Linked DNA regions of Neodiprion lecontei. The protein of the gene in region 1 purifies or fractionates together with the protein of each later gene. This does not show direct contact. Links are inferred from orthologs where the notes say so. Each region holds a gene or a part of one and is shown in the gene's direction. Other genes may lie near its edges.

Region 1 (10,277 bases):
GTATATACCGACCGATTAGTATAACATATAAAGAGAACGAGGCAGCTCTGACAGATCGTGCGACGAAGGATTTTCTAACCTACAGATTCGGTCTAATCCTTTACGCAGCACACTCAATATATACAGATGTAAGACCTCGGGTTGTTACTCGGCTCGCTGTCGTGTCAAGAATCGTTCCACTGGTCATGACGAAGGAGAAATAAAGAAATGATTAAAGTACGGTGGTTCACCTGTCTCGCTGCAACTGACGACGGCTGGATTGATAAAATACGTTGACTGGAACGGCAGAAATGATTCACTACTGGCCTGACATATTTTCAAGGAATTGAAACTTCACGCTTCAACGGACTTGTTACTCAACTACAGGATAAACACTCCTATATTACGTTACAGCACCCACGCGATCTTTGATTTCCGTTGAACAGATTGATTTCTTCGCCGCACAAATCCCGTAATCACGCACCACGATCTTCCTCCGAAGGCAGACTGCGATCCAATAAATCTTGTAAAGTAGGCATGTAGATACGTACCTACATAACATACATAGGCGTAAGCCACGCGTAAACGAAAACACAGCGGCTGGCCGGAGGGGGATAGGAGGAAAAAATGGCAGACATATTGAGACCACGGGCTGAGACCTCACACCACATGCTTAGCCGGAAACTAACCATTCGGAAGTATGAAAACATTCACGTTTTATCATGGAAAAGAAAATTTTTCCGAATAAAAAAAATCATCACCACTGCAAATAACTGAATATTTATCGTTATACACAACCGTACTATTTATAAACATATAATATTTCCATTTTTTCAATCTATATTTCCACATAATATTCATGTACTCATTTTATTCATTTTTATACCAATATTTACACTTGATAATGCTATTCTCTTTTTTTTAACGATTATAAACCGTATTAGTCATGATATACAAACTTAATATACGTGCATGCGTATGCTGTGTGGATGATTGTGTCATCTATATATTACAAGCTGCTTAGAGCACGATTCATGTTCAGTTATTAAAATCGCAGATGTGGTTTATTCTTGATCATATGCCTGAAACAGAAATAAAACCATTATGACACCGTATATCATAAATTAGAAAGTCAACAGCTTAGAGGTCTTTTTACCTATTGGAGACCAGAAATCTTACGCTCGGAATTTGATCTACTTCTAGTTCTCTCTTGGTATACAAAAAGTTGGTGAAAAAAAGTTAGCTGCTCTATGCCTTTTCTAATCCGTTCATTCCTCCAAACTATTATCTATTACTAAACTACACTGCTCAACTGTCAAGTCAATTAAACCACTATGCAAGTGAAGTTCGATGTTTAAACAAAGTTGGTAAAACTGGTCCTCATACATACAACTTTAGAGAAAATTGCTGGCTGATATTTGACAATAGAATAGGATTAATAATAATAATAGTAATAATAATAAAACTTTGGAAGAACACGGAAGTTTGACAACACACATGCTGTAACATATTTCAAATAAATGTAAAAATGATCTGAATGCTAAGACAGCTTTTTTCCTTACAGAAAAATTAGGCAAATAAAAAAAAAAAAAAAAAAACAATAACCGTCGGAATTATTGATATTCTTTAATCGCAAAAAGTTATGAACTTCGCTATTTTGTACATAAATTGATCTTACTTGTCCAATTGCTCCCAGAAGACCATCAATGCTGCTCTATCTAAATGCCTCTTGGTGCGACTCAGTTCCACAACAGTTACTGCCCACTTGGCAACATTTGCATCTAGCTTCATTTCATCGTATTTCAAATGAAAGGCACAAACTGAAATCATATTAGTAAAAACATATAAAACTTGATCAGGCATTTTTATGAAAAGCAATAATATAAAAACTATTTGAATTCTCCAACCACCAAATGAAAAAAAGTTTGGGTGACAAAAACTTAATTACAGAATAAAACTACAGGATCTGTCACGTATCCAAGTGACATTGACCAGTAATGTAGATATATTGAATTGTCTTACTTTTTGAAAATATCTCGACAGGATTTCCGTCGTAAGGCCAACCTTTGAACTGCCATGCAGGACCCATAACAAACACCGCAACGACTCTCTCCCAGTCTGCATTTGTCAACTTTTGGGGATTATCAACAACTCTATAAGGAACAGTGAGACCACCATCTTTTCTTCGCTGAAGAAGAATCTCATTCTCCCTTTTACCACCTTGTGCTCGCTTTTCCTCGTTGCTAACATACTTCAATTCTTGCAATACTTCTTTGGCATTGTACATCGTTATAAGAGATGTAGTTGCACTGGGTATAATTATTATGGGTGTTCTACTTGGTCTTTTATTCTGAGCTGCTTGTTGTGGAGTCAGTTTTGCAGCAGATGCAGGAAGTAATCCGGAGCTTGGTGTAGCAGCAGGATTGACTGTGGGCTTTCTTATTGCGGGATTGGTACCTTCAGTCACAGATTTTAGCGTCATACCATGATAAGTCCCCATTGTGTCGATTTTAAATCCCTCAGTTTCTTCTTTTTGACGAATAAATCTTTCCTGGTCATAACGATTGTAAACTGCTGGTTGTGGCAATGGGCGCATAGGTGTAGACCTTGGCGTAACCATTGGTGCGGGTATTGCAGGCCCTTTTTGCATCCTGCCTTCTTCTCTGGCTTTGATACTTTGAAGTATGGCAAATATGTTCTTGGCAAACATTTTACCTGCACTTTGAAGTATCGTTGCTCTAGTTCTCCACTGTCTTTCTCTAGATACGATGTCCTTAGTATCATCGACATCCATGTCTAGTATAACACGCAAATCCGAACCCATACCAATGTCGTCATTTTCCTTGATTGTAGTACGCTTTTTTGCCAAACGTTTAGCTTTGATTGCAGCAATTTTCTCAACAGACATTGCCTCTGAAAGAGATTTGATATTGTCGACTGTGACAGAAGCTTCTTTTGGCGCATCCAGTCGCGCTGCCAATTGTTCCTTCACCTTCTGAACATGTGTCTCTTCAAAACGTGGCTTCTTAGAAAGTCCCGCATCTAGCCCATCTTCGGCAGTTCGTTTTACTTGTGTTGGTATTTCCAATGGAGCTGATTTATCTATGGAGGCTGAGGTGGCTGTTTCACCATTAAGGTAAGCCAGCAGATCTTTTCTGTCCGGACGGCGCACCACAGGTATATTCTCTGCGGCGGCTTGCCGCACATACACTGGATGCGTGAGTTGAACATGTTTCAATAAAAACAAAAGGCATTCAAGAGTATAGTACTCCTTAGGTGTGCCTTCCTTTCCGGATCTGCAAAATGTAAGCAGAAAACTGAAAATTTCACAACCAAACAATTACAAGGACTACAAAATATATGTCGATTCGTAGACAAACCCAAAAACTAACATGCAATTGAAATCTTACCACTTTGTAATATAAAAAAAATTAAATTCATGACATTTCACATTTTGACAACGATCAAGCTATTATCTTATATTTCTTATTTGCGTTTCGTTATGTCACTGAAGTTTCATGTCTCGCTGACTCGTTTGATGCGAGTGAAATCGAGATATAAACATTGCGCAATTGTTTTGGATAATTATAAATGTAGGTAATTGTTTACAGCTTCATTTTACATTTCATAGTGTTCAAATCTATGATTATGCAATAATAAATTTAATAAACATGTTTTGTTTATTTTGCGATTCGCTGGAGAAAAAGTATGTGAGAAGGTATAATGATACCTCTTTTTTCACATCGTGGATTACACTTGAACATTCATCAACAATGTATGATATCTGAATGCTAGTAGAAATCAAGTTTGAAATTTGTGAACAGCAGAAAATCTTATCGTATCTCCGTAGAAATTTCACATTTGATTCGTTCGTAAATTCCAAAATACAGCGACAGCTACGTCGATGTACAAAAAGAAAATCTTCATAATAAATAGGAGGAAGCACGTAAACTTTACTGCGTTTGTTTGCTACATTTACTCAATGTATCAGAGCGTGTTTGCATCACACGAAAAGACTTCACCTTATTATACGTGTACAAATTTGTTGAGAAATGGCCCGCGTTGAATTTCATCCGCCACTGAAGTAACCAGTTCTTAAAATATCGGTGAAGAATAAGGATTGTATAACACTGATTTCAGTCAGCTACACATGAATGCAATATGAAAACTTAAATAATCTTTGTGCCAAAAAAAGCAAAACGACGAGCCTGATTTTTGGTTGTAGTTTGCCCAGATTGGAAAGTAGTATAAGAAATATAATGAGATTTTTTGGATGAGATCCTTACCCGTATGTCAAATAGTTTGTCTTGACATTTTTTGGCCATGAGAATTCACCAAATATAATTTGGTTTTCACGTTCAATAATTTCCTTTTTATTTACGTTGAATTGGCGAAGCAAACTCAACGGATCCGCCATGGTTGTTTACCGTGACGGTTTCGTTCCGCAGTTCCCACCGTCCACCACCGTCCACGCACGCTTCTACTGAGCAGAGAGTACTGAGGTTGTACAGGCCGACTTTGGGTACGTTCGACTGGGTCGCTTTGAGCCACATTGAGCACTCTGCATTGAGCGCTGTGAGCGCCATATCCTATAGCATTTATATGTATATTTATATATGTGCTGAAGCCTGAAGCCGTAAGCGCCCAAGTCGAACGCACCCATTGCTTTCCGCTGAAAACCAGACTCGCGTGTCGACAAAACACACGTGTTCGTGTAAGTCGTGACATTTTTGAATTCGAAAGATGGTTCGAAAATTGAAACATCACGAGAAGAAGTTACTGAAAAAAGTAGACTTTATTTCTTGGGAGGTAGACAATAACTTGCACGAGATTAAAATTTTGAAAAAATACCGAATCCAAAAAAGAGAAGATTATACGAAGTGAGTTGTCATTTTCAGTATAACCTCCACATGATCGAAATATTCGATACATTTCTCTCAGAGATATTGACATCACCTAAGCTACTGTTTCCTTAAAACTGTTCGTTATGTTTCTAATTTTTAACTTATGTGTACGTATAACAACTACTTTATTTCAGATACAACAAATTATCACGACAAATTCGAGAACTGGCTAGAAAGATCAAGGAAGTAGATGCTGAACATCCATTCAGAATAGAACAAAGTGCCATGTTGCTGGAGAAATTGTATATGATGGGTCTCATTTCCACTAAGTGGGATTTATCTCTGTGCGAGAAAGTTACAGCCAGCTGTTTTTGTAGAAGAAGATTACCTGTCGTTATGGTTCGTAATAAAATGAGTGAAACCATTAAAATGGCGACAAAGCTAATCGAACAAGCTCATGTACGAGTTGGACCTGAAGTCATTAAGGACCCAGCATTTCTTGTAACAAGGTATATACTTTTTTTTAAATCATTAATATCCTAATTTAATCAAAACAAATTGGCATTATTTTTAAAAATATAATGATATACTTTTCTAATTTACTTAGGGTAGTTGACGGTAGAGTTAATAAATAATACATATTCTATATCAGTTATAACTTACCAGAGTAACTTGAAAGATATTTCTGTGAATACTTTACAGTTTTTCCTGGTTCACATTAAAGATCTTAGAACTAGACAATAATCCTTATTCTATATGACATTTGAGAGACGTAAAGTAATTATTCAGTTTGATATTAAACAGTAAATTTAGTTTTAATCTGTAAATAATAAGACCAAATAAAATTAACTGGTACAAGTATCTACCAATTTTTAAATTTTGCTAACTATCTGAAATTGACATCCCTAAAATGCTAATCGTAATAATTTTCGATTTCCAGAAACTTGGAAGACTTTGTGACATGGGTTGATACTTCAGCAATAAGGAAACATGTATTGGAATACAATGAAATGGTAGGTGTCATGTTCTGGAGCAAGTAATAATATGTCGTTTGTTACACTTTGTGTTGCAAAATCTAAGAAAATGTTCTAATACACAACATTTTTCAACATATTTCGTTACAATTTGTGACAATCATTTATCTAATCAATTGCATGTGCTGTACTGTTTCAGAAAGATGACTTTGAGGGTATATGAACATTCTGATGAAATGCCGCAGAACAATCAATGGCGATATAGTTTTCTGAAACCAGTTTCCTGATCTTTATTACCGTTGTAAAAAACTGCAGTATTATTCAACAGTCGTAGTGGTCTCCCTAGTTTCACGTGGGATGAAGGCAGTGAACAATTACGTGAAGAAATGCTCGGATTTGTTGTATCGCGTATTTCCATGTAATCACTTGTTGAGAATAAATCTTTTGACGGTATTGACAATTTCTCCGGCGAATAAAAAGTGGTATTTTCACGAGCACGCTTTGCATTGTTCGCATCATGAATGTTACTTTTTCTCTTCAACTTGTTTGAGATTACCACATTACACATAAGGTGTTGATCTGGTCTTGGATGGGATGAAGAAGGCATTGGAAAGTTTGCATAATAAAAAAAATTTTGGTCGCTTTTTGTACCACTTGATTCTGCGAATTTACTTGTAAATAATGTATTGTTTGACACTGATGATTCATCAGGTGAATAAAAAATGTCGTTTTTAACAGTGAGCTGCAAATTTTCTAGATTTTTTCTGTTAGATTGTGCTTTTTGTGTGTTCATGGCTAATATATCATTGACCAATAGTTTTGAATTTTCATTTGATCTAGTTTGCGATTTCGATGGCATTGAAAACTTATAAGAGCGACTTGGATCATTTTTTATACTGCCTAATCCAACGTAATCACCTGACACTGATGACCCTTCATCGGGTACGTAAAAAATTGTGTTTTTATTAGCCAGTTTTGAATGATCCAAGTCACATATGTTACTTTTTCCTTCTTCAACATTTTTGGCTACCATATTATTGCTAAAAATTGAAGCATTTAAATTTGACTGTGGCATTTCATATCCTGCAGCAATTTGTTGTCGAACTGTTTGATTGTTTTTCGGAACCTTGTTTCTGCTGAACGATATTTCCGGAATGGAACCACTTTCTTGGCCAGAGGAGTGCCATATACTCCTGACATCTGGTTTATAAGTTTTATGATTATTCGAAATTTGCTTCAGGGAGCCAAACATATTCGAGGCATTGTGACGCACAAATGCTTCAGTAATTTGACCATCCTTAAACTTTGTATCCATTTGTTGATTCACAGCTGGAAGGGTATCGTACTTCGATTTATTTGTCGTAGGTACATAAAATTTTTCACGTTTAAGATCTGTTGTTATATCAGTGTATACACTATTTTCAAGTGTTACCGTGTTCATGGAAGCTCCAGTACTATTAGGCGGATTATTTATGTTGTTAGGAAAATCTTGAGGGATATTTGGAAATGGCATATTCGACGGCGGTACGTAAAATATGTTCTTATTTTTAAGGTCTTTCACTGCATTATTAGAAGTCTGAACATTGGTTTTAGTATTACTAAGAGTCTCACAAATAGTTGCTTCATCAACACTGTCCACATGTGGCTTCAAGTTGTTTTCTGCATGCTCTGCACGAAGCACAGCCCCTACCTTGGAAACTATCGTACTGAAAATGATAATGATGCGATGAGTTTACAATCATGATCAATGTGACAACGTAATTTATTGAACTATCGATCTTTGTCTGCATGATATGTAGGAAAACTAAAATATGCTGCGCACCTAAGTCTGAGTATTTCCTGAAGTAGTATTTTCACGTACTGTCGTCTGTTCTGAAAGGCACATCTCATTTTATCATAGTCTGGCTCAGGAGCACGATTTGTCACCCAATTGGGCAGTACCAGATCGTTCTTATCCGTAGTAATAATACCTGTCTGTTCAGGTTTGAAGAATATATTCTGTTTGTTTACACCGCCTTCGGTTGTTGCTTTCTTTAATTGGACATCTATTTTTTCTGCTTTTACATAAGCTTCTGTTTCAATTGTTTGCAGTTGTGACTCAGACAGCATATCCAAACTAAAATCGCCTGGAGATGTCTGACGGTTTGTATTCCCAATATTCTCATCTTTTGGCGAATCAACATTTGGAAAGAGATTGTTGGTCAAGTTGGAAAGCATCCTCTTTTCTAATGTCCTTTCATCTTCCTTTTCAACCCTATTCAACTTTTCCCTAATCATAAATTCTGTATTCACATTATCTGGTAAATTTATTGTTTCTCCATCAGCATTAATATTAACTGTATTTAAAACAGCTAGTTGCCTGTTTCTTGTTTCTACATTTTCCACACTCAAATTCTGTGAAGTTGTGAAACTCGTGATACTATTATTTATATGAATAGGAACGATTTCTTTCTTTCTAAGTGTGTCTTTTTCTCGTATGGTATCCATCTGTGATTCTATCGAAAGTTCTAAGAAGGAGTTACTTGAAATTTCCAAACCCTTTTCATTTCCGAGCTGTTGATCCCTTAGCGATTCAGAACTTTTCCCTGGATCATCGATAGGATTAACAAGATTGATGGCCTTCACTGTCGTTTCTTCTTCGTTCCGCATAACCTTCAACTGTATGACAGACAAATGTGCGTCGGATTTTAGTGTAGTATCGGTGGATGAACTTTGCATCTCATTATATCCAGTTTTTGAATCAATCGTGGCAACGATGCTGCCTGAGTCTCTGTTAACAGTGATATTGTTCTTTTTTGATTCTTCGTGAATCGGTTGAGTAGTTGAGTTGGCAAGTTGTTGGAGATTCAAATCAACCAACTTTTCTGTAGTGCTTGTATCTCTTATCATTTTGTCATTGAGTGTGCATTGGAGTGAATCATTTCCATTAGTCTCGTGCTGAGGCAATATTTGGAATTTTTCATTAGTGCTTGAGCAGTTAATATTATCATTAGAATCCATGAAATACATTTCTTCAATTGTACTTTGATTAAATGTAGAACTGCTATCTTCTGTGGGAGTATCTTGTACATTCAGATTTTGTGATGGTGTTAATTGTTCTAAGAAAATATCACTACTTTCAAACGAAATGCTTTTACTTGTCCTGTACGTTTGTTCAAGGTCCATACCCATCTCTCCTTGTTTTATGTCTTCTAATTTTTCAAAGTCAGTTTGAAGTAGCACAGAAAACTGTTGTGAATTTTCTGTGTTTACTTTATCGTTATTCCAGTCATCAAGACATTTGTTTTTTGACTGCCTCAAAGTAAGAGCATTACTGACATTTTCGTTACATTTTATAATCTCTGGAGAATGGTTGCCTTTGATGAAGGGTATCAGTCCAAACCCTTCCATCAAATTTGACATAAATTTGTCAGGTAGAACAGAAAATTTGTTTCTGCTATCACTCTTACTTCCTGTAAGCTTCACTAGGATGTTATCTTCGGATTTAAACTTTCTTAAACTGTGGAAATGAGTCTTCTTTGATGAAATAAACTCTACCAAACAAGTTTCAGAATTCCATGACATAGTAAGAGATCGTTTACATGTAAATTGGTCCTTGCTTGACTTCCCATTGCAAATCTCAACAGAATTTTTGGTCAAGGATTGATCAAGTTCCAGTGCTGTCTTTTCCGTTTCATTTAAATACTGTTCAGAAATTTGTGGTCGATTTGATTCTAATAACAAATTAGGTGTAAATGAAGAATTCTGTAAGCCAATACTATGATATGATGAATTTAAAATATTCGGGGAAATATACCCTGTTACACTTTTAGTTTTATCATCACACACAGATTCGGATAAGTCTACGGTTCCATTCATCGCAGGTGAGAAGCTGCTAGTTTCGGACATGGCAAAGTATTCTTGAAACTCCTTTTCCATTTCAACCGAACTATTAATAGCGCGTTCAATATAGCTATTAAGTCTATTCGTGAATTTGCATTGAGAGCACAAGCTTCCTTGGATCCCTGAATTCAAATCAAAACTCTCATTTACTTCCATAATCTGAGCTGGGTCATCTATGAGTATCTGGTCAACAGTATTCTTCAGTGTTACTTTTGTAGTGGCGAAACTATCATTTCTTATGTTCGAATTAATACAATTGCTTTCATTCCCATATTCAAATTCATCAAAAATGTTTGAATTCATACTTTTGATATTTTCACGTGCATCCCCAGTTTCCTTACTTATTTTCCCAGTCGATTGTGGCGATCGCGGTGATTTACAGGTTATCGTCAATTCATATTTAGGGTTTGCCATTTCTGACCACCCGTGATTTAAACTATTTGGGACAGGTTCCGTACTGACTATACTGAATACAGAGAGAAACCTAACAGAATCCAAATTTCTTCGCTACTGTTGATCAGTTTCGTAACGCTGCACAGATTTCGGTCAACGGTGACCGTTTATTGGTCGGAACATTTCAACATCCTACATGGCTACG
Region 2 (11,615 bases), about 9.9 Mb from region 1:
ATATTCGCTTTAACATTCATTGCGTCGTTTATCAATTGTATCGACGAATACAAAACATTCTAAATTTTTTGAATCAACATCCTTTTCTGCTTTGAGTTATTAAAGTGAATATCTTTTTGGAAACATTTTATGGGTCTCAGTGCATTTGTTAAGAAATCGGTTTTGTTGCCCTGAAACAGAAAATAATACGATCAGTTAAACGAGTATTTCTGTACGTTTCAGATATATTTCATAAATATTTACGCTACGATTTTTCACTATCAGTATACACTACCGAGATTTTTGTTCCTACGCGTTGAGCGCCGGATTTCAAATGCCGCGGTTTCTCTCATAACTGAAAGGTATCAAGTCCACGCGCAAAAGGCGTCGTTGAACTTGAAAATCTTATTATTCGTTAAAAAGTTGCCTGAAGAACTGAAACATCAGCACGTCGAGAGTGCGCAACTTTTTATATACTGTTTGCAAAATCGACGTGCAAAAAAACGTGCCCAATTTCAATTATTAATTTACGCGCATGAAGCTGCGTCAAATTCTTGTTATCAATTTAAGCGCATGAAGCTGCGTCGAATTCTCGTTCTTAATTTACGCGCATGAAGCTGCGTTCAATTCTCGTGATTAATCTACACGCAATAAGGCGCGACAGATTAAACTGTAAAAAAATTTGTATTTTCTGGGACTTGTCCCAAAAATTCTGTAGAAACCCAATCCGCATCTGCATCTTTTAGATACCAGATACATTGCTATGCGGATTGTTGTTCTCAGATTACAAATCAAATTGAAATTGGGAGGGAGGTTGGAGGGCATGCATTATTGTGTGGCGTGACGGTCGGCGGTCCTCTTCGACGCGAAGTCTTCGAGCTCAGCATCTCTCCCCATCTAGCGTACCACGGAACGCGATAAATGGTCCAGAGATGCGTTTTGCCCATTCAGACGATCACAGAGATTAATCGAATGGAATAACGATCGGTGATGACTAAATAATCGAATTGGATAACGATTGAAAAATCGTTGCAAAGTGACAAGAAGTGGGAAATTTAATCTCGTTAATACTCAAATGTTTACAAATGGTCGACAGACTCGAATGTGGAGTCTTTTGGGAAAATGTCTGTGATCGTTTGACGCTGTGGATTACAAAAGTTAGTAGCATCACGGTACATCGCGACCTTCCTAACCTCGCCTGTTTCCCAACGAACCCACCCAACGGAAAAGAGAGATTCACACACTCATGCATAAACCCCGCGACGGATCCCAAAACGTCCACCTACCTACCCGGTTACCTATATTCGACCTAAACGATTCTCCATTTTTTCCAACACACATCATTCTTCATCATTTGCGCCGTGGTCACTGACTTACATTTTCATTGGTTACCTGTTGGGAGCAAAATGTTTTTGTATCGTAGTCTGCCTACTCAGAATACAGTATCGCGGTTGTATCCCGCCAACTCTAATATTGCATTTGTTATTTTAGTAAATGTTGGCAGACTATCGGTACATTAACCTTTGGTAAAATTGATTAAAACATCCTGAATTCTAATTAGCATTTTTCTAAGCGAGCTAAGCCTGCAGTTGATCAATACTTGTTGGCTGTTAAAAGATTGAAAATGATATATAAGATGCAAATTGATTTTGAAATTTAACAATAATGTGGATAATTGAATACTTTTGAAACCTCAGGTGAACCCACCACTTAAACGGCATCATCGGTAAATTCAAACGTAGATTATTACATCAGTTACGAAACACAATTCGATCTCGCGAGTGCCGAGTAAGCGATGGTTGCCTGTCGCGATGCTCATTCCACTTTTAGCAACGTGTAAAATTTCTAATTTGAAGTAAGCTACGCTAAATTGCATTGCGAGAAATGATGATTCCACTGAAAGTCAAGCACGTTGCGATTGTGAATGAGCCTATCCATGTAGCTAAGAAATCGAAGATTTGTGTGACAATTGTTACCGCCACGCCACGTGACAAAGGAATCCCAGGGAAATACCCGTAACCTAACACATGCAAACTCACCAACGTTGCCGAGAAATGGAAAAGTTACTCGGAAGTCTCTGCTTAAATCTGTGAAAAACAAAACACGACACTTGAATTAATTTAGGAAATTGGCTTTTCAGTTTTCAAATTAATTATTACTGATGTCTTGTTTCATATTTACGAATTCGTTCGGCTTTAAATGACCACCGTGAACTATCAATCAATAATTAAAATAAGTATTGTTACCTCGACTGTGGGCTGTTCCACACTTTCACATGCAGTAGTTGCAGCATCTCAGGTTTATCGGTGAAGCGACGCACTTTTCACATCATTCACATCTTCACTAGTCTCTTATAGTTCAAAAGTCCGCACCGCAATAACACTCGGATTCTACACTCAGTTTTTGTGCTACAGCTGTCTGTTTGAACCGAGTGAATAATCTTGCTAACAATGCAATAGCGCATTTGCCGAAAATAAGCCATAAAAATATTAAAATTGACACACGACGCACAGAGACAAAACACACATCACTAAAATCTGAAGTTACACAACAAACAATGAAAACTCGGGACACAAAATTCACCTTCAATGTTCGCAGGATGTTTTTACTTTAGTAACTCGGTTTTTTGTTAGGTTATACACGGCTCCTCGTGTATTGTTCACAGACAAGTATGTTGGAAATGCACTTGAACCACCGGTCGGAATGTTGAACTGATGCCGAGGACGGATGATCTCAGTTCGATTGCTCGGAGACGACTGATTCTGCTCGGCGCTCCCGCCCTCTCTCCTGATCTTCCCGTGGAGTGGGGGTAGTTGCACCCGCCACCTAGCTGTTTTTCCTCTCCCGTTCCCCAACCCGCGCACGACGATCACGGAAGAGCGACAGAGAGGGGGGGAGAATTATTATCTTCTATCCTTTAGAGAATCGATTCAAATCTGTTCACGGGACGCTCACGCCGTTGCTTACGCTCTATTTTATATATCCATAGTCTCACGGCCGGGTGTAAACACCACGCAAGCTACGCGCAACGCGATCTAATGTTTACAAGACTGCCGTAACGTGCGCCGTCAGGCGAAGTATCACTTCTCCGACCACTTACGGCGTTGACTGAAGATATGTAAAGACTGATAGTCTTATGGGACTTTTCGTAATCAAAAATGAACGAGATAAACACATCGTGAAGCGGCGTCCTTTGCGTAGTATTTACGCGAGTCTCCTTTTCTTAGGACGCCCAGCAGCACAGACGCTCGATCGCAATCTCACCCCACTCACTATCCTTGGACCGGTAAACACACCGGCTTGCAACCCGCCGCATGCACATTTTTCCACACAATTATGTAATACAATGTAGCAGTGTCGGACATATTTTAGTTTCAAACTAAAAATCACAATTGACAGCACTCATTTTTAATTACGCTACTAAAATTAAATTTTTCACAAAAATTCTCAATTCGAGTTTTTGAATTGAGAAATTGAAAGTAATTGCAATAATACGAATTTGCTCATTGAAGAAGATGAATTAATTCTCAATTAAATTATTCCAATTATCGAAATAAAGAACTGATTCTTTATTCATCGTTTCGAATCACGAGAGTGAAAACAAATTCCCAGTATAATTTTTCGAATTAAGAAATAAAAAATAATTCCCACTTCAATTTCTTGGAGTACAAAAAAATAATCACAAATCTAATTTTATGAATCAAGAAATAAAAAACAATTCAGAATTGATACTTTACTTCTTCATACAAGTAGATACTGGCTTGCCTATCAACGCTAATCTGTATTTTCTATGTAAAAATGAATTTTATCCCGTAAAAGATATAAATTTATCAATAAATAAATAAACAAATGAATTCATAATTCAATTCGAGTTTTAGGCTGATACCCCTATACATATAATAATAAAAATCCACGTCGCGCACTTTCTAACTCTAAATATTCCAAAAAAATATTTTCCATTGACAAGGATGATTATGGTTTGGGACAAAGTTATCTGCATGTTCAATTATAAATACGCGCAAGGAAATTTTCGAGTTATCTTCTAGCTATACTACCATCGATTACCGGTTTCGGTACTCTCTTCATTGTAGGTGGCTACAAATCAAGTATCTCTTTGATCAACCTTTTCAACATTTTTAACTCCACCTTTTGGAAACGTAACAATTATATAGTCAATTCTCACTTCTTAAAATGAAATAAATGTGCAGTGGTGCAAGGTTTAACTATACGTGCTTCAACTTCCTTTGATGCGGAATAGCAGTAGATTATAAGTATGAGTATCTTTTGATAACGGCAGTACGTATAGCCGACAGGATAAAAATTGACTTTACGAATAATGTTGCGTTGGTAACAGGATTTAATGATTTGAAAGTCATCGGATCATTACCCTTGAAAACCACTTATTGAAAAACAACCGTTGATATTTCAATAATGTTATTTATGGCATTCAGAACATTTCAAAATTTGCTCTGAAAGAAAGAGATATTCCCAATTTTTTTAGCGCTTCAAAGAACTACGAATTGACAATAATCAATATTTAGCATTTCAACAATTGAGAAAAAAAATATGGTTTGATAAGTCAATATTATACAGAAGATAAAATAAATTTTTTGTTTCGTCACATTTCTAAAAAGGTGTATGACTGAAAGACAATTTTAAAACCTCATCAGAATTTAAAATAAATCCGCAAATATTTTATTCTTCATTCCACTTAATTTGCAATGAATCTCATGATAGATTCATTTCCATTATTAATTTTTATATTTATTCAAGAACTTGCGGAATTTTTCTTAATTAAAACCCAATTATCGTTTACAAATTTTGGGAAAAACTCATAAAATAGGCTCATTCTTCTACATATCTTCAACGTGCTTCTAGCAAAGAAAAAAGTGTTTCAGAATTTTTCGGATATTTTCAAAACTTGAGATATCGAATTTCTTCAAATCGTAATCTTAAAAGTGCTCATCAAAGCAAACAAAAATTCTTTATAGAAACATTCTTCAAATGGTTGGAACTAAAAATAGAGCATTTCAATATTCTTCCAAAATACTACGTAAAAAACTTTGAAAAAATGAATTGAGCGTCTTAGAGATGATACTGTCGCCCGCAAAAGATTTGATGTATTCATGTAAATATAAATGATACACGTTCATGTCCTTGATTGACATTTATTTTTCCGTTGTATAATTTCGGCACACATATGTCTTGAACGGGATTTTCTCAACTTTGCAATTTCACCATGTCAACGGTATGTTATCAATGTTTTGCACACGATTGTTGTTGGTTATGAACTTCGTTTATGGGCGTGTTCAGTTGCTTGGTTGATAATACGGGAATCTGCTAATACCTCCAAACCGGCCAGACCCGACAAACTGTTACGAAAAATAACCCAGGGTTATCAGTCTTTGTATATCTTCAGTCAACGTATAAAGTCTGTGATTCGTCCCCTGTCCTGACCAATGCCCATAGTATGCATAGTGTGAATGCATGTGGCTAGCATTCTTAAAGGTTCGAATCGTAGTTCGAATGCCACATGGTTGTGACAATGTCTTTTAATTCAAAAACTATTGCAGTTTAAGTTATCTATTGTATAGAATTATTCACCGATCATGAAGAGCTCGAGGGTTTTCCACGACATCATCAACGTCGTAGAAGCAAACACCAAGAAAACTGAAAATTATTTGAGGTTAATTCTAATTCATTTCCAACAACCGTAGTTTTACAGGTCCAATAATTATTTCGACTGGAGTACGTTAAAATTGAATGAGGCTGCAGTTCTCAACGTTATTTTCAAGTTGTACTTCTACTTCTAGCAAAACCCGGTTTGTTTGAAATTCAGTGAACACTGAAACACCGTCGGCATACTCAGATTTTATAATCTGAAACTTTTCAAACTCATTTTAAAGTTGTAAAACGATTTTTCTTTTAACGTTGCGTTACTTATCCATTACTAACTTCAGTCCCATGAAATTGAAGTAGATGTAAAATATATTCATTTAGAAAGAAAATCTTCATCTTACGATTTTTATCAAATAATTTATGCAGCCAGTGATTACCTTTCATTGTTCGGCTCAATTAACACCGATAATTTTCATCTTTGTAGCATACAGGCAGGTGCATCGTTGGAATTCCGTCACACGATAAAATCCCTTTATGATTTTACTAAGGAAGAATCTGGTCGCATGACGGAGGCGTTGCCAGAGCTAATCACAGAGGGTTTTGATACTGAGCAAATATGGCAACAGCTAGAACTCCAGAATGAAGGAGAATTGCCTCATATTCTGACAGGAGTCTCTAGATCGTTGATTGCGGGTAAGAGACTGAAACTACCTGTCAAGCTAACGAGGAGTGATGAACAACAAAGCAATGATAAATCAGGCCTCGATCAATCTTTGGATGGCGAACAGGTATCTTCCTACGATTCAGACCTAAGTGACGGCGACTTAAGTAATTTAGACATAGAAGGACTGGGGAAGCAGATGAGGAAGAAGAAATCGAAAAGAGTGGCCAAAAGAAAAACACCGCCCTCGATAGTAGATGATAAATTCTTCAAACTCCAAGAATTGGATGAGTACCTCACGAAAGAAGATAAAAGAGAAATGCAAAAAGGGAAGTCGAATGAAGAAGACAGTGATGATGCCGATGAGGAGTCTGTCGACTTATTTGAATATGTTTCTGATAATGGAAGCGAAGACAACGAAACTGACCCAAGACTAGTAAAGTTTAAAGATTTCTTTGATCAACCACAGAGCAACGATGAATCAAACTCTGAGACTGAGAGCAATCATTTTAATGAAGAATCTGAGAACGATACCAACCTATCTGTAGATGAAGAAGAAACAACAGAACCTCATAAGAAACGCGTTAAATTCAGTGTCAATGATCAATCGGCTTCAAGTAGTTCAGAGGAAGATGAATCTAAAAAGGAAGGAACTACAGAGATAAAATCCAGCCTAGAAACACGTCAAGAAAGACTGCGAAGAAAAATAGAGGAATTGGAAGAAGCAGCAATTTCAGAAAAACCTTGGCAATTAAAGGGTGAAGTTGATGCTGCATCTAGGCCACAGGATTCACTGCTGCAGGAGCACGTTGAGTTTGACATAACTTCCAGACCAGCTCCTGTGATCACTGAAGAAACAACATTGAAGTTAGAGGATATAATAAAGCAGAGAATAAAAGACAAAGCTTGGGACGATGTTGAGAAGAAATTTAAACCTGTTGAAACCCCAATGGAATATAAAAAAAAGCTGGTGTTAGACCAGGAGAAGAGCAAACTTAGTCTGGCACAGATTTATGAAAATGAATACTTGAAACAAAAGGAAGCGTTGAACCCTGACAACGAGGAACGAGAAACTGAGGAACCTAAAGAACACATTGAAATTCGTAATATGATGCATTCTTTGTTCAGCAAACTTGACGCTCTTTCCAATTTTCATTACACTCCAAAATTGGTAAGCCATCAGTTTCTCTTGATGCAGCATCTGTTAATTCTAGTTAGATCCGAAATGAGACAGATTAGAATTCACAAATTCATAATGTATCGATAATGGTTTTCGCATTTTATTTTAGGCCAGGCCTGACGTCAAAATCGTTAGCAACCTTCCTGCTGTAACGATGGAGGAAGTAGCTCCGATAGCCACAAGTGATGCAACTTTATTGGCACCAGAAGAAATAAAAGGTAAACCATATAATACAGCAATCAGTATCTATCTGAATACAGAAAAAGTTCGCTATTACAAATTATTCAATTCCGTTTCATTACAGCAAAATCGCGTGGCGACCTGATCGGCAGAGCCGAGAGAACTGAGACGGACATGAAACGTGAAAGGCGTCAAAAGAAGTTGAATCAACGAGACAGAGAGAAAGCTAAAGAAAAGCGGGAAAAGATTGTTGGGAAATTGAAACCTGGTCTTGGAAATAAGTACAGTAAGGAAAAAGCAGCAAAGATGATTGACAGTTTGAGTAAGGAGCGTAATATTTCAAAGATAGATGAAACGAGTGGAAAGACGGCAAAGTCTTCCACAGCATTCTTTGATCAGCTTCAGGATCAAGTCAATTTTCATATAAAATCGAAAGACGGCAATGTGCGGAAGAAGAAAGACAAGAAGGCATTATCCGCGGTGAAATTAAAACTCTGAACTTGTATAGTCGATAATTAAAACAATTTCCTCTTCTACTATTTTTTTAAAGTACGTTAGTTACAATTAGAGGTATTCATCATTATTATTATTAATAAATGAAATTTAAAACACGAGTTTTCTCCGTATAGTATTCCCCATATATTAGTGAAAAAGTGTTTCCGTTTTCTCACGATTATGATATGCTATGGTTTTTTTTTTGTTTTTTAAAACTTTTTTTTGTTATTTCTCAATCTCTCTCTTGCTTTCAATCTAAAATATTGCTAAACATATACAAATGCAACAATTCACAAGTGATAGTCTTATTATAATTACAATTATTTAATTATGTGCTATGTTATTACTAATATCTAAGAAAAAATATTACTTAGAAAATTGATATCCATTAATGACATCATTTTGTAAATAACAAGCAGCTTCGAGTGAGTTATATAATTTTGTACATTGTCACGGTCGTGTCTTTGTCTAATATCTGTCATCAAAAACATTATAGTAATTGCACGGTTTACAAATATATGAAAAAACAATTTCATTAAGCTACTCCTTATCATATATATCTACGATGAAAGCTTGCAGTCGAAAAGTTTTAATTTCTTATTCGTAACTATTCTGAAAAGTTTGAAAAATATTTCAATATTTTTTTTGTCAACTCCTTGTAGTTTTCATTTTTTTCCTCTTCATTTTAAATAGTTTTCCACTTTTGCAATGAATTTCTCCAGAACACTGGCAAATAAGTATATGGAACATGGATCGATCAATGATTCAAAGTTGATCATAAAATGTACATAATTAAATATATTTAAAATACCATTCCAAGTAGAAATTGGAAATTCTGCGTATTAACTATCCTTATTTGACTTCGCTTAATTTTGTTAAATTTTATTTACTTTGTTTCTTTTCTAAATTGAAAGTATTAAGATCAGGAAGGATGGTAAGGGCTGAGTAAAAATATCAATAAAAGGGATTAATATCGAAGGTGGAAAAATACAATATCAATAATAGTTATATTAATTAGTTATTTTTCTACCACCAAGATTTCCCCTGCCCCCCTTCCTACTCGAAATTAGTATTGAACATATTGAGCTCCTCAAAACCAGGGGCTCCGCCTTGGTCCTGTAACATCTGTAACATGTCCGATAACTCCTGAGGCTGCGCTCCTGGACCTCCTTGCGAGGGGTGAGGACCCTGGCCTTGATTAGCGACCGGTGCACCCGCCTGTCCACCGTCCTGCTGTGCTTGATGCGGCCCTTGATGCTGCTGGCCTTGCCAGCCCCACATGCCTAAAATGATGATCAAATAAAAAAATCAATTGCTGGGGGGGTATACCTACGTATACGAGTAAACGGCTCAAAAAGCGGGGGAATTTCGAGAATTCAAATTTCTGCTATCGATTTTCAATTTGATCATGGTTTATGTAATTTAAAAGTATGTAGATCGAGATTCATTGAGGTCTTTTTTTTAATTATGATCTATTAACAGAAAGCATTGTTATTGATACTAAATTCAAACATTTCGCTCAGTGGTAGTTTTGGTACCTCAAATTTGGAGAGTTTTCGCGGCGAGTTTATCTTCTCTTCCGGAATCCAAAATTTTTTGTTCTCAACGGAACAAGAAACGTTTAAAGTTGGAATATAATTTTTCACAAAAAAAAATTTACCACTCTTTTTAAGTTTAGTTAACATAATAATATGATGATAGAAAGAAATAGGATTGTGGCGAAAAGAATAAACTGTCCAAGAATGTCAGCTCCAAGTTGAAGTAAATTGGTTGAGCCATTTTTGAGCTATCGTGAGGACCACAAAAGGTGTCAATGAGCGAAAGAGTTGACGTTATTGTCAATAACAATAGTTCCTAATAATTGATTCTAATAAAAATTGTATTTAAATGAAGCTCAACCTGCATACTCTTGAATAAAACGATCCCCAATCGAATTGAATGATTGATTGTCAAGATATAAATTCTTAGAATTCACTCACTTTTTTAGGCACCTACTGGTATAAGCCCTGTTAATCGAATAAATTTAATCATTAACCCTACCACACGTTGACTTACCCGGATTGTTCGGAACTGTTGTAACCGCGTGGTAAGACGCCGCAGGTGTTCGAGCTCCACTACTAAGCTGAGTATAAGTTGGACCACTTGGAGATCTCGACGGACTTAACTGGTGGTTATACTGGTAGCCTTCGGTGACAGGTTGTTGCTATAAAAGAATAGGGTGGCATTGAATGAGACAATTCCTGACAGGACCTGATGCGGAACAATAATTGCACCGTTGATATTTACCTGTCTGAGTGTCCAGGCTTGCTGAACGGGAGTCGGCGATGTGTTTGCCGGTTTTGGTATACGATTTAGAACCGAGGAGGAGGTGCTCTGCTGACCGGGGGATCCATAGGCTATTGGTGACTGGGTCGTTTCATATCCCTGGTAAACGTTTTGAGCACTGGATGGTCTTGCTTGTTGGGGTCCTGTAAGTAGGTGACCGAGATGAAGTGATAACTTGGTCAAAATTCGTTTGGCGACATTCAGGTTTTGCGGCACTTGACAAAGAATTTCATGACAGGTGGAAAATCAAGTTATAAGATACCATACCTGCAGTAGCAACTGTCGCAGGATGCTGCATCATTTGATGGGCTGGGTAAATAGCCTCTCTGGCAGGATGTCTGTGGACGCTGTAGTCAAGACTAGGTTGTCCATAACCAGAGACATTCTCTCCTTCGGTTTGTCCCTCACCACCAGGGTGCAAGGATTTGGCCGTTGTGTTCGTGCAGACTATGTACTCGACTTCATCCGTGTAAGGGTTGAGAAACGCAAAGGCGGACGTTCTGAGCCAAACCCAGTCCCGATTTTTCGCCCGAAATCGATACATCACCGACATAACTTGGCCCTTTAGTTTCAGTACTGTGATATAAGAAAAAACACGGTCAACAAAAAGTTTCGACCATTTTTTTCCTAAGTTTTATTTACCTTGCTCAAAGCTTTCCCTCATGTGCGTCAGGTCTTCAGGGTGAAAAAAATCGTAGCAGGGATGTCCGAGGAGCTCAGATGGCGTGTATCCCAGGATTCCACCGACCCTCTGATCGACAAAAGTGAATTTTCCTTCAGCTGAATGACGGGAGATGAATTCTGTAGTACAGAGAAATTCACCATTGGATGACAGTCAGTTTTAGCGATTGAAGTTTCCAACGATATCGAAGGTATTAATGTTGACACAATGAAATATTGAAAAAACAAATCTCTATTTCGCAACTCCAGAATGACTTTAAAGCAGTTTAGTTTGCAAAGCATGAAGATATCTGGCATTATTATGGCTTACTGCATATCTAACTATACTAAAGTTGGGAGATAACGATTTTTTCTAAAAATGCATCGTCATTTCGAAATGCATTGATAGTTTTGACCAGAAATGCCATCAGTATAAAACGGCTAAGAAATCGTTTAGATGGCCTGTAAGAATGTTGTATGGTATGCTGGATCAAGCTAGTGTAAATAGTTTCATTT
Region 3 (10,967 bases), on another chromosome or scaffold:
AAACTGGATGTTTAGTCAAGTGAATTTTACTTAGTTCAAGAATAGAGCTCAAATTTTGCAACCAAAATTAAAACATGTAGTCGAGATTTTCTAATACTCAGACTCTAACTCTCGCGCTGCCTGACTAAAACAGATAATTTCGAGTATGTTTCAATTGACGTCCAAACGAGACAGTATCACACGCAATCCGTGCTCCTTCGTAAATATTTGTATTCATATACAGTATGGAGTGAATTAAAGTATAGTTGAAAGTTCTGTAACATTCTTCTAGTTCCTTTTATTTTCATCAACGACCGTCACGTTAGTTACTGCTTGTCGTTATCAGATAAATTTCAAGGGCTTCGATAAAATAGTTACAGGCCTTTGATTATTTGTCCAACAATATAGTTACGGACCTGAGCTATCTCTAGTATATACAAATTAATTGATTAATAATTAGTTAATAAACTCGATTCGATAGAGTTTTAATAACAATAAAAGATGGGTTACATCAGAGATCATTTGGTCGATTAGAATTGGCGTTGGTATGAGGATTGGTGTGGTGATGGGGCCTGTGGAGGGTGCTGCTTATCGTCAGAGGACCTACCATGTGGCCAGGTCTCGCCCACGTGTAGACATACCCGTCCTGACATGCTGTCACGAAACAATCTTCTCTAAACACTAATTCAGTCAGCCTCTCGTGGGCCAGTTTCTTGCACACCAATGGTTCTAGAACAGGGCACTCGTCGAAACGTGGACACCAGGCGGTCCCTATCAATCTCATAGGATCGTCCATCGTACCGCCGGACTTTTTATTCGTACCTAGACCCCCGCCAACACTGTTTGAATTACTAGAATTTGAGTTACTACCAGATTTCTCCCCACTATTATTTTGTATCGCGTTGTTGCTCGTTCCACTTCCTCTCATCGTTAGGCTAAAGTTTCTTTTGTGATTGTCACCTTTCCTCTCCCCGAAACCCAAGCCCGCCAGCCTTTGAGTCAATGAATTCACGGTAGACACTGCCGCATTGGTGCTAATACTATTATTACTACTTTCATTGTTACCACTCGCGCTCTCTTTAAAACCTATATTATTCAAATTGTTATGCTTGGCATTGTTGGAATTATGATTGGACGTTGCTCCATTCCCGCTTGTAAATGTTCCCGATGACGAAAATGTCCCCGAACCTGCGGTCGACGTCCTTTGCTTGGCACTGACTGGCGGCCGAAGAACGTCTTCGGTTATATCCCATAGACAGAGTTGAGTGTCCTGGGAGACACTTCCCAGCCTGTAGCAGGTTCCTCCGGACACCCTTAGCTCCGACCCGCACGAATTTCTATTGGAATGAATACCTTGGGAGACTGTCGACAATCTGTTGGGCTTCTCATGAAAGTGATTATTGTGATTAGTGTGAGGCATGGATTCGTCGTCGGAACCACTGAAATCTGGATCGTGATCCCCGTAGGACGTTGTGTAGGGATCGAACGCGACCACACTGACCCAACTGTGATGACCCTGGCCCCTGGCCACGACTCTTTTCTCATTGAAGCTCCATATCGTCACCAGATCATCTTCTCCTCCTACTACGACGTATCGTCCATCCGGTGACCAACAGACGCACAAGAATCCTCCAAAGTAGCTCCTCGCCGATCCCACTAGTTCCATCGTATCGTAGTGAAAAACTCGTAGGAAGCCATCCTGGGATACCACAGCCAAATTAGAGCCACAGGGACTGAATGCAAATTCATTTATACAGCATCCCTCAGCGCCGATCACCCATCGGTACAGGGGGTTTCTTGTGGACTTTGTTTTGCATGTGTGAATCGCATAGCCATCCCCTGATTTGAACGGCTGATAATGAGGCGGTGTCGTTCCACAAAGCAGCTCTTCGTTGTACAGGTACAGTTGGCCAGAGCTATGCGAAACCAGGAATAGATTGCTCGATCCCGGAACCCATTTGATGCAGGTCACTTTACTCTTGTCGATTAGCCTCTGAAATTACAAACATCAGTTGCTGATTATTCTTTGTCGCGTTTATCTTTCAACTAATGTCAACATCTTCCCAGTAAATTAAATAACTCGAGTCCTTGCCATATCTATTCGTCAAAGGGTTTTACAACTGGTAGAGAATAACAACATAGCTAATAAATACGAATAGATTACAGCTTTAATATACGCAGAGATCTTAGTATCTTGGCGCATTGTCAGTGATCGGAGAGATAAGCGGAGTATTGCATAACACAGTATGTAATGCCTGTTTAATTATTTCATCAAGTTATAGTTGCGTTACAACAGTACTGCCAACCTTGAATGATGTAGGGTTACGCGGAGCCATCTGTGGCAGATAATAAAGCAAAAAAAACTCTCACTTGTCGCGACAGATAGCATATTACGTGTCTGTTGCTAATTGCCTGGTTATCACGTGCCGGCAAAATAACGGTGCTGTATCTCAGTCATTCAGCAATCAGCAATAAGCCTGACAAAGAGCCCTTAGCTAGCCTTTACTCGTAGAATGTGCCTAGCTTTGGCTGCCCAGTTATTGAAATGAATATTGCTCATCAGGATAGGATGGATTTTTGCTTTTGATTTGAATTGATCTGTTATGCATACCTCTTCATTGTAAAGTTTGCTAAGCTCCTTTTTAATTGGATCTATGAGCTGAATCTGTCCTGTGGAAAATCCGACGAGCAGTGGCGCGCTGTCTGCAGTGGCTGTAGTTTGGTTGAAGTTATGGCAGGTTGGATTTGTTCCTTTGTAGAGCTTTTTGTCAACAGGTTTGTTGAGATCCACAGCCTGAAACAGTTGCTATTATACTTTGAGATAGATTTTGAATGAGAATTATTCAGAAAACGGTTCCTAAGCTCTTATAAAATGAATTTGTATTTCAGAACCAAGCAATCGTAGCTGTGTGCCAAGATTAGGAAACCTGACAAAAGTTTGCATGTTTCTATTAGTGTTATCATTGATCAATTTTTTCACCAGCATAACACAGGCCAACAAAGCATAGGATGAACTAAAAGTGAACGTAAATGTAAATGTAACATAGATAAAGTCGAAGTGAAGTAGAAATGCGAAGAATATGACGAGGTTGGAGAGTTGTGGTGGTGGTGGTTGCGAAGATGGAGTCGGAACGACGAGGCGGAGGGGGGAGGGGGGCTGTTTGAGGTTATGTATCGTTAAGTTAGCGCCGAAAGAGTCGCAGGGATAATAGGGCAGGTTTAACGAGGTGGCAGAAGAGGAGGTACCTTCTTGACGCCACGGTAAACGTATACGTATAATTCTTTGCCAAAGTTGAAGCACATGCGGTCGCCGAGGCCCTGGGCTCCCGTGGGATCGGCTGGATCGGGCAATGTGACGAAGGACACCCTGACCGAGGCGCTGCCCTGGCTGTTGGTGTAGCCCACCCTGTTAGGTCGGGAGTACTCCGAGAGGGTCATCAGTTTGTACGTTCCTTCTCGCGTGACAAATTGTGTTTTCAAGTCGTCCTTCCCCCCTCCATCGAGCTGCACCGCCATCTTACCACTAGAGAAACGACGGTGGAGTTCATGAGAATCGAGGAAATGGGTGTTTCCTTTCCTATTTTAGTTAACCGTCGATTGATCCGCGATTATACCAATCCCGGCTCTTCGATCGAACGACGACGAGAGTGTGGTTACTGTTTTCTTAACAACACCACCACCACCACCATCACCATCACCACCACCACCATGCAATATCGCGGAATCGCCGAGTCCCGAGTACAAGATCCGAACCCGCAGCGAAATTGTCTGCGAGCTGATCGTCGCGGCTCGCTCCAGTGTTGTTGGTGCGCGCGCACACCCCAGCCGACCGACACTCTGCCAACACCGGGCAATCCTACATAATATCGCTCTGCAACCGGATATTTTCTCAACAGATGGTTGAATTACTAATTGATTTAATCGCTCCTTCCTTCTTCCTGTCACACATGTTGACGACCGTTTAACCGTCCCTCGTCGCGTCAACGAGCAGCCGCTGTCGCTCGAACGATACTGATCGTACCACTCGCCCGTTTCGTAATGACCGACCACCTCCTTCTGGCCGCATCCTAGTCGACAGGAATATCGCAGCTGCTCGGAAAAAACTGTTTCGTCCGATTCATCAATCGACAAGACCAGCTCCGTCAATAACTTTTACAAGGATCATTCTCCGTGAAATTCTCGAATCTTTCCTCGCTTCGCGGAGATCGCTGTGCATTCGAGGAGATGCCGCAACGTATACGCTGTGTCAATTTCGTTTTCAAATAAGGCGACGCTCCCCGCTCTTTGTCGTCTGCTATGTTTGGTATCCATTGGTGCCAACCTTCTCCGCCGCCTCGTTCGCAGTGCTGCTGTCTCAACGGAACCTAACCTGAAAACCATGTGCTTGCCAATGCAAGCGTTCAGTTTTTGGTTGTCGATAGGCCGTGTTCATTTGAATTGAATTATTGCTGGCGATATTGAAAGTGGGACGGTTGACAATGGTTCGTGGGAAAAAACCGACTCGCGGAGGGAATCGACGAAAATTTGATAAACGTTTCGAGCATAAGCCTAAGGTGAAAAAATGTAAATTCAATATCAGGGAAGCCTCGTATGTCAAGGAACGTGATGCCAAGAACGAAGAGATTGAAAATAGGAGGCGAAAATTAGAGGCGGAGAGGAGCAAACAGTTGGAACTTGAGGCTGAGAGTTCGGAAGAGGAACGAGAGGATCCGTTAAAAATGTTGCTTTCAGCTATCGGTGGTGCTGAAACTAAGAGGCAACCTGTCATTGACTCCGATTGTGAGTCAGAGTCTGAATCCGAGCCTGACGACGAAGCCGAGGTGAAATCTTCCGTCGAAGAAGAAAATCTTTTCAAGACGAAAAACTCGGGCGTAGATCACGTCACTTCCGAGGCTAGCGACGCTGAACATGTCGAGATAAATTTGAGGGAGGAAGAGGAAGAGGATCAAGAGACTGCGCGCGAAGATGCTGGGAAGCTCAGAGATCCGTTTTCAATTCATCTGCTCAACGATTTGGACGACGACTTGTACAAATCCGTTTCCCTAACTCCTCAGAAGGCTGCCACCAGTAGATCGAAGTGGCCCGCTCTCGGAACCGTTGTGTTTCAAATCCCAGAGGTTGAGGATGAGTTTTCTAAGCCTGTTAGAAAACGACCCAAGGTCTCGATATTGGAAGACAAGCAATTTGCCAGACACGGAGCTGTTCCGCAAGTCATAGACGACGTTGACTGGGACAAGTTATTCATCAAGTCACAAATTCAAGGCAATATCTCCAAGGCAAACTACGATAATATTAAAGACAGTCTGGCGTCTAAGCCTAGTCCCTTAACCCCGTTGCAAAAAGAATTGTTCACCATAATTAACAATTATCAAGATCTGTGCTACAACGAGCGAAATTTCGCCAATGGCGAACAAATTAGATTTCTTTATTGCTTGCACGCGGTTAATCACGTTTTAAAAACCAGAACCAAGGTCTTGCATCACAATGCGAAACTGACAAAAGCCAAGAAGTCAGGGATAGCGGATACACCGGATGAATATCGGGATCAGGGTTTGGTCAGGCCGAAGGTTCTTATAATAGTCCCTTTCAGGCACTCGTGTTTAAAAATCGTTCGGCTACTGATCGCGATTTTAATCGGGGAAGACAAGGGTGGGTCCGTGGTGAACAAACTTCGATTCATGGAGGATTTCAGTGGCAACGAACTCGCTATGCCGAGGAAAAATCCCAAGCCCGAAGATTACGAGCAAACGTTCGAAGGAAACGTCGACGATACCTTTAAAATCGGCATATCCGTGACGAAGAAAACGTTGAAACTCTATTCGGACTTTTACTCGTCCGACATAATCATTTCGTCCGTCCTGGGACTCCGAATGCTCGTCGGCGCCGAGGGCGAACCCGACAGAGATTACGATTTCCTTGCTTCCGTGGAGTTGCTCGTGATGGACCAGACGGAGGTGTTCGCGATGCAGAATTGGGACCACCTGCTGCACGTCCTCGACCACGCACATCTGCAGCCAAAGGAATCCCACGGGACGGATTTCTCTCGCGTTCGCAGCTGGGTGGTGAACGGCTGGTCCAAGTTCTATCGGCAGACGCTGATATTCTCCGGCGTTCCGTTACCCGAGATACACGCGATATTCAACAAGCGGTGCTTCAACTACGCGGGAAAAGCGAGGGTCGTGAACCCGGTGACTTCCGGGACCGTTTGCCAAACGGTGATTCAAGTGCCCCAGGTGTTTCACAGGTTCGATTCCCGAGACCACGGCCACGACATAGAGGCCAGGTTCACTTTCTTCGTCTCGAAGATTCTCCCCCAGTACAAGGACAGCATAATGAATCACACCGTTATCTACGTGCCGTCCTATTTTGACTTCGTGAAAGTTCGCAACTACTTCAAGAAAGAGGAGCTCAGCTTCGTTCAGATCTGCGAGTATTCGAAGGATGCAAAGGTGGCCAGGGCGAGGGACATGTTTTACCACAGCGACGCGCATTTCCTCATTTACTCCGAGCGATTCCATTTCTTCCGTAGGATACGCCTCAAGGGTATAAGGCACCTCATATTCTTCGCACCGCCGACGTTCCCTCACTTTTACAGCGAAATTTGCAACCTAATGCAGAAAGCGAATCAGAATCCGAACGCAGGCTCGGACAGCAACATGACCGTAACGTTGGTATACTCGAAATACGACGCGTTGAAGCTCGCAGGTATCGTCGGCACCGAAAGGACGACGAAAATGATTAGTTCGGGGCAAGACGTCCACATGTTTATGACCGGCGACTGACGACGAGTGAAAAAGTATTTGTCCGGTATCGAAATTGTCCCTGCTGCATTTGTAAAATCATATTATGTATGTAGTACGTATACATTTGGTAATAAACGTTCCACAGTTGGCGATAAAATCCGATGAAAAAGCTGGGTGACTGATTTTTAGCTTACGTCGACGAGCACCAGATTTGAACCGAAATCTCCAACGAAAGTAAATAAATGATTAATCTGATTCCAGAAATTCACTGAAAATAATAATACTCCTGTTAGACTGAAGAAAGGGGATTTGATGACTTATTGTTAGGTCTTCGAATTATTTGCGGTGCCGGTTTAGCCACATTTTTTTACATTCCAGTGTTTATTGAAAAATGAGAGTCTTGATCTTTCCAATTGCTAAAAGGAGTCGATCGGTTCACGTAGCGGATAAAAAAAAAAAACGTGGCGCGGGCTCAAAGCACGTGCGTAAGAAAATGGCAAGTGATATGTGTATAGAGCAATCAGGAGAAATTATTTAGTATGCGAAATCTTTAGAAATCCTGCGATTTTGCAATATTGTACCGAAAATTATGTATCTAGGTAATACCTGAAACAGCAGTATTATGTTTATTGATTAAAAATAAAATTTATCGAACATACCTATGGGTTTGTGAACAAAATATAAGACAAACAGTATTATACTTATAGTACATTATATAATATATATTGTGTGTGGTATATTTTTGAAGGAATAAATTAGTTAGTTATAAATTAGGGATTTCCCCACACGTGATCTTCAAGATTTAGTAAGTATACGTGGGCACTCTTCAAAAATAATGTCCGGAAGTCTTGGTTCAACGATAGGTTCAGCGTCTGGGCGCGCATAACAAACTCCATAATTTATTGCGAACTGCAATTCCGGACGCCTGACTTCATTCCTTATTCTGCGACAAACAAAAATATATATTTATCCGCCGATAAACCGAGCGAAGATATGAAATTTAAAAAAAACGAAGCAATAATTCTACGATACAAAAACAATGACAAACTTATTATTTTTACCTGCATAACTCATTGATCACGTAATTCGCATCGGATGGATTATTTCCTATATAAACGTTGAGATACTTTAATATATTCAACCTCGTGCAAACCTTCAATAGGTTTTCCATCGCTACGACCAAATCGAAGAGTTCTATTCCTCTTTCGTAAAGCGATACATGAACCATTTCGAGCTTTACATTGCAGGCAAGAGCGTCGAACAATTCAAGCGATTGAAACGAATCAGGTTCTTCACCCGGCATAACCGGGTACATCGCTTCGGTTACGTCCTCTTCTTCGAGTGAGAATTGCTTTATTTTACTACACTGCCTTAGCATTATCGAAAGATTTGTTACGTAGGTTGTGGTGTTGCTCGCTTGTGCCAGACCGACTAACACTACTATCTCCAGGTTTGGACATTGTCTTCCGATACTGAGAAAAATTATTCCATCTATGGTGGGTACGAAGGCCAAACGTAAGGCTGTGAGATGCCGCCATTCTGGAATGTAGTTCAGAGCACTCAAGTCCCAAAAGTCGGGGTCCGGCTCTTCGGGGCTGAAATAATGTAAATATTGTTCGATTCGTAATCCGTATTAGACACGCGTAAGGTATCGGAGATTGGTTCTCACACTCTCGAATAATAAATCGTTAAATCCCGAAGTAGCGGAGTGTTTTCCACTAGAAGTTTAAAAGAACCATCCGTGTTGCCCATCGGGTCATCCACAAACCCGAAAGGTACGCCAGGAACTCGCCTGATGAGAGATCTTCTCAAGGGTAGCCTACTTCTGTGCTCTGCTTCTCTAATCTCTGCAAGCATAATGAGTTTTAATATATACATGTATCATCGCTACTTGGATGAATTGATGATCTAACTCCGCGATTTAACGTCGATTGCGGAAATCCAGTTAGCACAAACACATGTACGTGGTTCATGAATATGAAATTCCATTTTACCGTTTGCTGTTATCATTCGAATTAAAATAAGATCTGTCAAGCTTGGGAATGCCGATACCACTAAATGCGCATCGCAATACGGATCAATCTGATGGTCCAAGTACAAAAAAGTTATCGGATACTCGGGATCTTTCAGCAGCCGCTGAAACATCGATGACATTAATTAACGTTGTAACTCGATTTAATTGGTAACTTATTTTTCGCTTGTCTTTAAAGTATCTAATTGTACGTTACGTAACAAGGGAATAAAGTTGGAGATTAAGAGAGATGAAGAAAAGCAGAGAAAACTGAAAAATTGTTATGATCTCATATTTCCCGCAGATTGGGGGAGAACAGTTGAGAGTGAATAATAGGCTACTCTCATCCCGCTATTCAGGTAAAAAAAAAAAAAAAAAAAATTAAACATCACTGTTGAGCGGGGAATAAATACTACGACTATTAACGTACCGGGACATTGCGTGAATGCGCAACATAAGGACTCCTAATTACAGGCAATCCGGGGTATGCGTACACACGTCGATTGTCAGAGTGGTTCCTATGGTGCACATCCACGTAATGTCCCGTCATACGATTCTACCTTTGCCTCTTTAATGTTCAATATGAATGGCCAGTTACTGGCGTTTGCTGATGCACCTAAGCCTGTTCTTCGTAAACAACAGAATTCCAACGGCACGTCTTCGTGGTTCATTCTTATCACTTGTTCCAACAAGGATTCCGAAAGCACAGACCATACAATCGGAATAACATCAGGAAAATGGTGATACGGAGCCTCGTGTGGTATTCGCGTTCTTACTAGTACAGGACAAATTTCGACATTTTTTTCTGAAATCACAAGTTGAAACTTATGTTCGCGAGTCGATTGTGATATTTCAAGAATTATGCTTCCTTTCTTTCCAACCAGATGCAATCATCTTTTTAGAGTCAGCACCAGTCAGCACGTAGCGTCTGTGAGTGACATTTGATGTATCGTAAAAAATTCACGTCCTGCTTGAAAATTTCCAGTACACAAATTGTAAAATTTGAAAGTCTTCGATTGACAAAAGCCTTATTTGCAAAAACTGTGAATCATCAGAACATTCCCGTGAATGTCAAATTATATATCAATATTTGGACATGGAAGGGGTCACTAAAAGCGACAATGACAGTCCTTTTCTTCAGACTGATTGTTATAAAAATAAAAAAATAATGTTTATGAAAACATACCAAGATAGAATCCTTTGAATGCAACAGCACTACCAATCGCTTGAAAATCTGTCCACTGATGTAAATCCGGAATCATATGAAAAATATTACTCTTCATTGTGGTACACGCTTTCCATCCCTGAGCTTGAACAATTCTAAGCTTCTGCAGTCTATTTGGGCGCTCCTCAGCCCACGGAATATCTAGTATGTCGTCACGCTCCTGTCGTGTCAGTTCGACTATACGGAACTCCACTAGCTCACTACAGCTGCATCGCACAGCAGGAAGTAAATTCGTGTTATAAACGCTCAATCTTACTCCTAAATAATTGAGCCTGCCTAACGGTCCTCCTATAACATCAATGGTCCTGTAAACATCTTCATCCGGCTCGGGCCAATCCACAACCAGCCTTCTAAGTTGTAGCAGGGGCGCAAGAAAAGATGCCAAAATTCCAACATTCTCGAATATAATTCCGTGTATATTAACATCGACAAGATTCAATGCCCTGCCAACCGTCCTGTTCAACATCCTTCCCGGCTTCATGCACGTTGCGTTACTTATATTCACTTTACGGATATGCGGCATCCTGTATTCACTGACAAAATATGTCTTGATTTCTTTTAATTGTGTCACCCATCCATTTGGGGTAAAATCCAAATTCCTGTATACATTGAAATTCGAGTCGAAATTAGGATGGGGAAAAATGGACGAGATCCATCACTGCACAAAGTTTTGGTCATGCGTTGTAAAAGGTGAATGGTTTCACATAAAAAAAAAAAAAAATTTAAATATTTAAAAAAAATAAGAAACATAATCAGAATCGCACAAACTCTGCCAACTCTCCCAACTTGTGAAAACGTTTCAGCACCATTCCGGTCCTCTATCACCAGATGCGGCAGTAGGTACCTACTGAATCTTGTTGTAACTACTTTTTTCTTAGAAACGAACAAACGAGGTACTGCGAACGCAAATAATTAATTTTGTCACAGGCACACTACAGTAGACTGACCTCAATACGTCCGGATCACGGTGTATAATATGTCTAAATACTGTGCAAGTCCTCGCGACTTC

Evidence for each region.
Region 2: the proteins of U3 small nucleolar ribonucleoprotein protein IMP3 (region 1) and U3 small nucleolar ribonucleoprotein protein MPP10 purify together in Homo sapiens (affinity purification with mass spectrometry; 4 studies listed by BioGRID and IntAct, with this or other methods). This does not show direct contact. The link is inferred for Neodiprion lecontei from reciprocal best matches to the Homo sapiens genes IMP3 and MPHOSPH10.
Region 3: the proteins of U3 small nucleolar ribonucleoprotein protein IMP3 (region 1) and U3 small nucleolar RNA-associated protein 25 homolog purify together in Homo sapiens (affinity purification with mass spectrometry; 3 studies listed by BioGRID and IntAct, with this or other methods). This does not show direct contact. The link is inferred for Neodiprion lecontei from reciprocal best matches to the Homo sapiens genes IMP3 and UTP25.

What each region holds. Positions count from the first base shown.
Region 1 is NC_060262.1:32,033,820-32,044,096, forward strand, and holds U3 small nucleolar ribonucleoprotein protein IMP3, read left to right. Parts: upstream 1-4,601; 5' UTR 4,602-4,722; coding exon 4,723-4,859; intron 4,860-5,017; coding exon 5,018-5,332; exon of another isoform or gene 5,333-5,763; coding exon 5,764-5,836; exon of another isoform or gene 5,837-5,996; coding exon 5,997-6,020; 3' UTR 6,021-6,047; downstream 6,048-10,277. Other genes in the region: parafibromin, read right to left, coding at 1,025-1,061, 1,658-1,799, 2,002-3,275, 4,266-4,396; uncharacterized protein LOC124293362, read right to left, coding at 6,048-7,503, 7,620-8,806. UniProt on the Homo sapiens protein: Component of the 60-80S U3 small nucleolar ribonucleoprotein (U3 snoRNP). Required for the early cleavages during pre-18S ribosomal RNA processing. Part of the small subunit (SSU) processome, first precursor of the small eukaryotic ribosomal subunit.
Region 2 is NC_060262.1:22,089,753-22,101,367, forward strand, and holds U3 small nucleolar ribonucleoprotein protein MPP10, read left to right. Parts: upstream 1-5,431; 5' UTR 5,432-5,588; coding exon 5,589-5,665; intron 5,666-6,082; coding exon 6,083-7,430; intron 7,431-7,548; coding exon 7,549-7,657; intron 7,658-7,743; coding exon 7,744-8,117; 3' UTR 8,118-8,728; downstream 8,729-11,615. Other genes in the region: aryl hydrocarbon receptor nuclear translocator homolog, read right to left, coding at 9,171-9,397, 10,170-10,317, 10,401-10,582, 10,707-11,015, 11,082-11,240. UniProt on the Homo sapiens protein: Component of the 60-80S U3 small nucleolar ribonucleoprotein (U3 snoRNP). Required for the early cleavages during pre-18S ribosomal RNA processing. Part of the small subunit (SSU) processome, first precursor of the small eukaryotic ribosomal subunit.
Region 3 is NC_060266.1:559,573-570,539, reverse strand, and holds U3 small nucleolar RNA-associated protein 25 homolog, read left to right. Parts: upstream 1-4,167; 5' UTR 4,168-4,457; coding exon 4,458-6,761; 3' UTR 6,762-7,207; downstream 7,208-10,967. Other genes in the region: WD repeat-containing protein 20, read right to left, coding at 491-1,972, 2,591-2,785, 3,226-3,495; uncharacterized protein LOC107216915, read right to left, coding at 7,518-7,665, 7,784-8,317, 8,392-8,569, 8,717-8,858, 9,294-9,538, 9,920-10,557, 10,906-10,967. UniProt on the Homo sapiens protein: Component of the ribosomal small subunit processome for the biogenesis of ribosomes, functions in pre-ribosomal RNA (pre-rRNA) processing. Essential for embryonic development in part through the regulation of p53 pathway.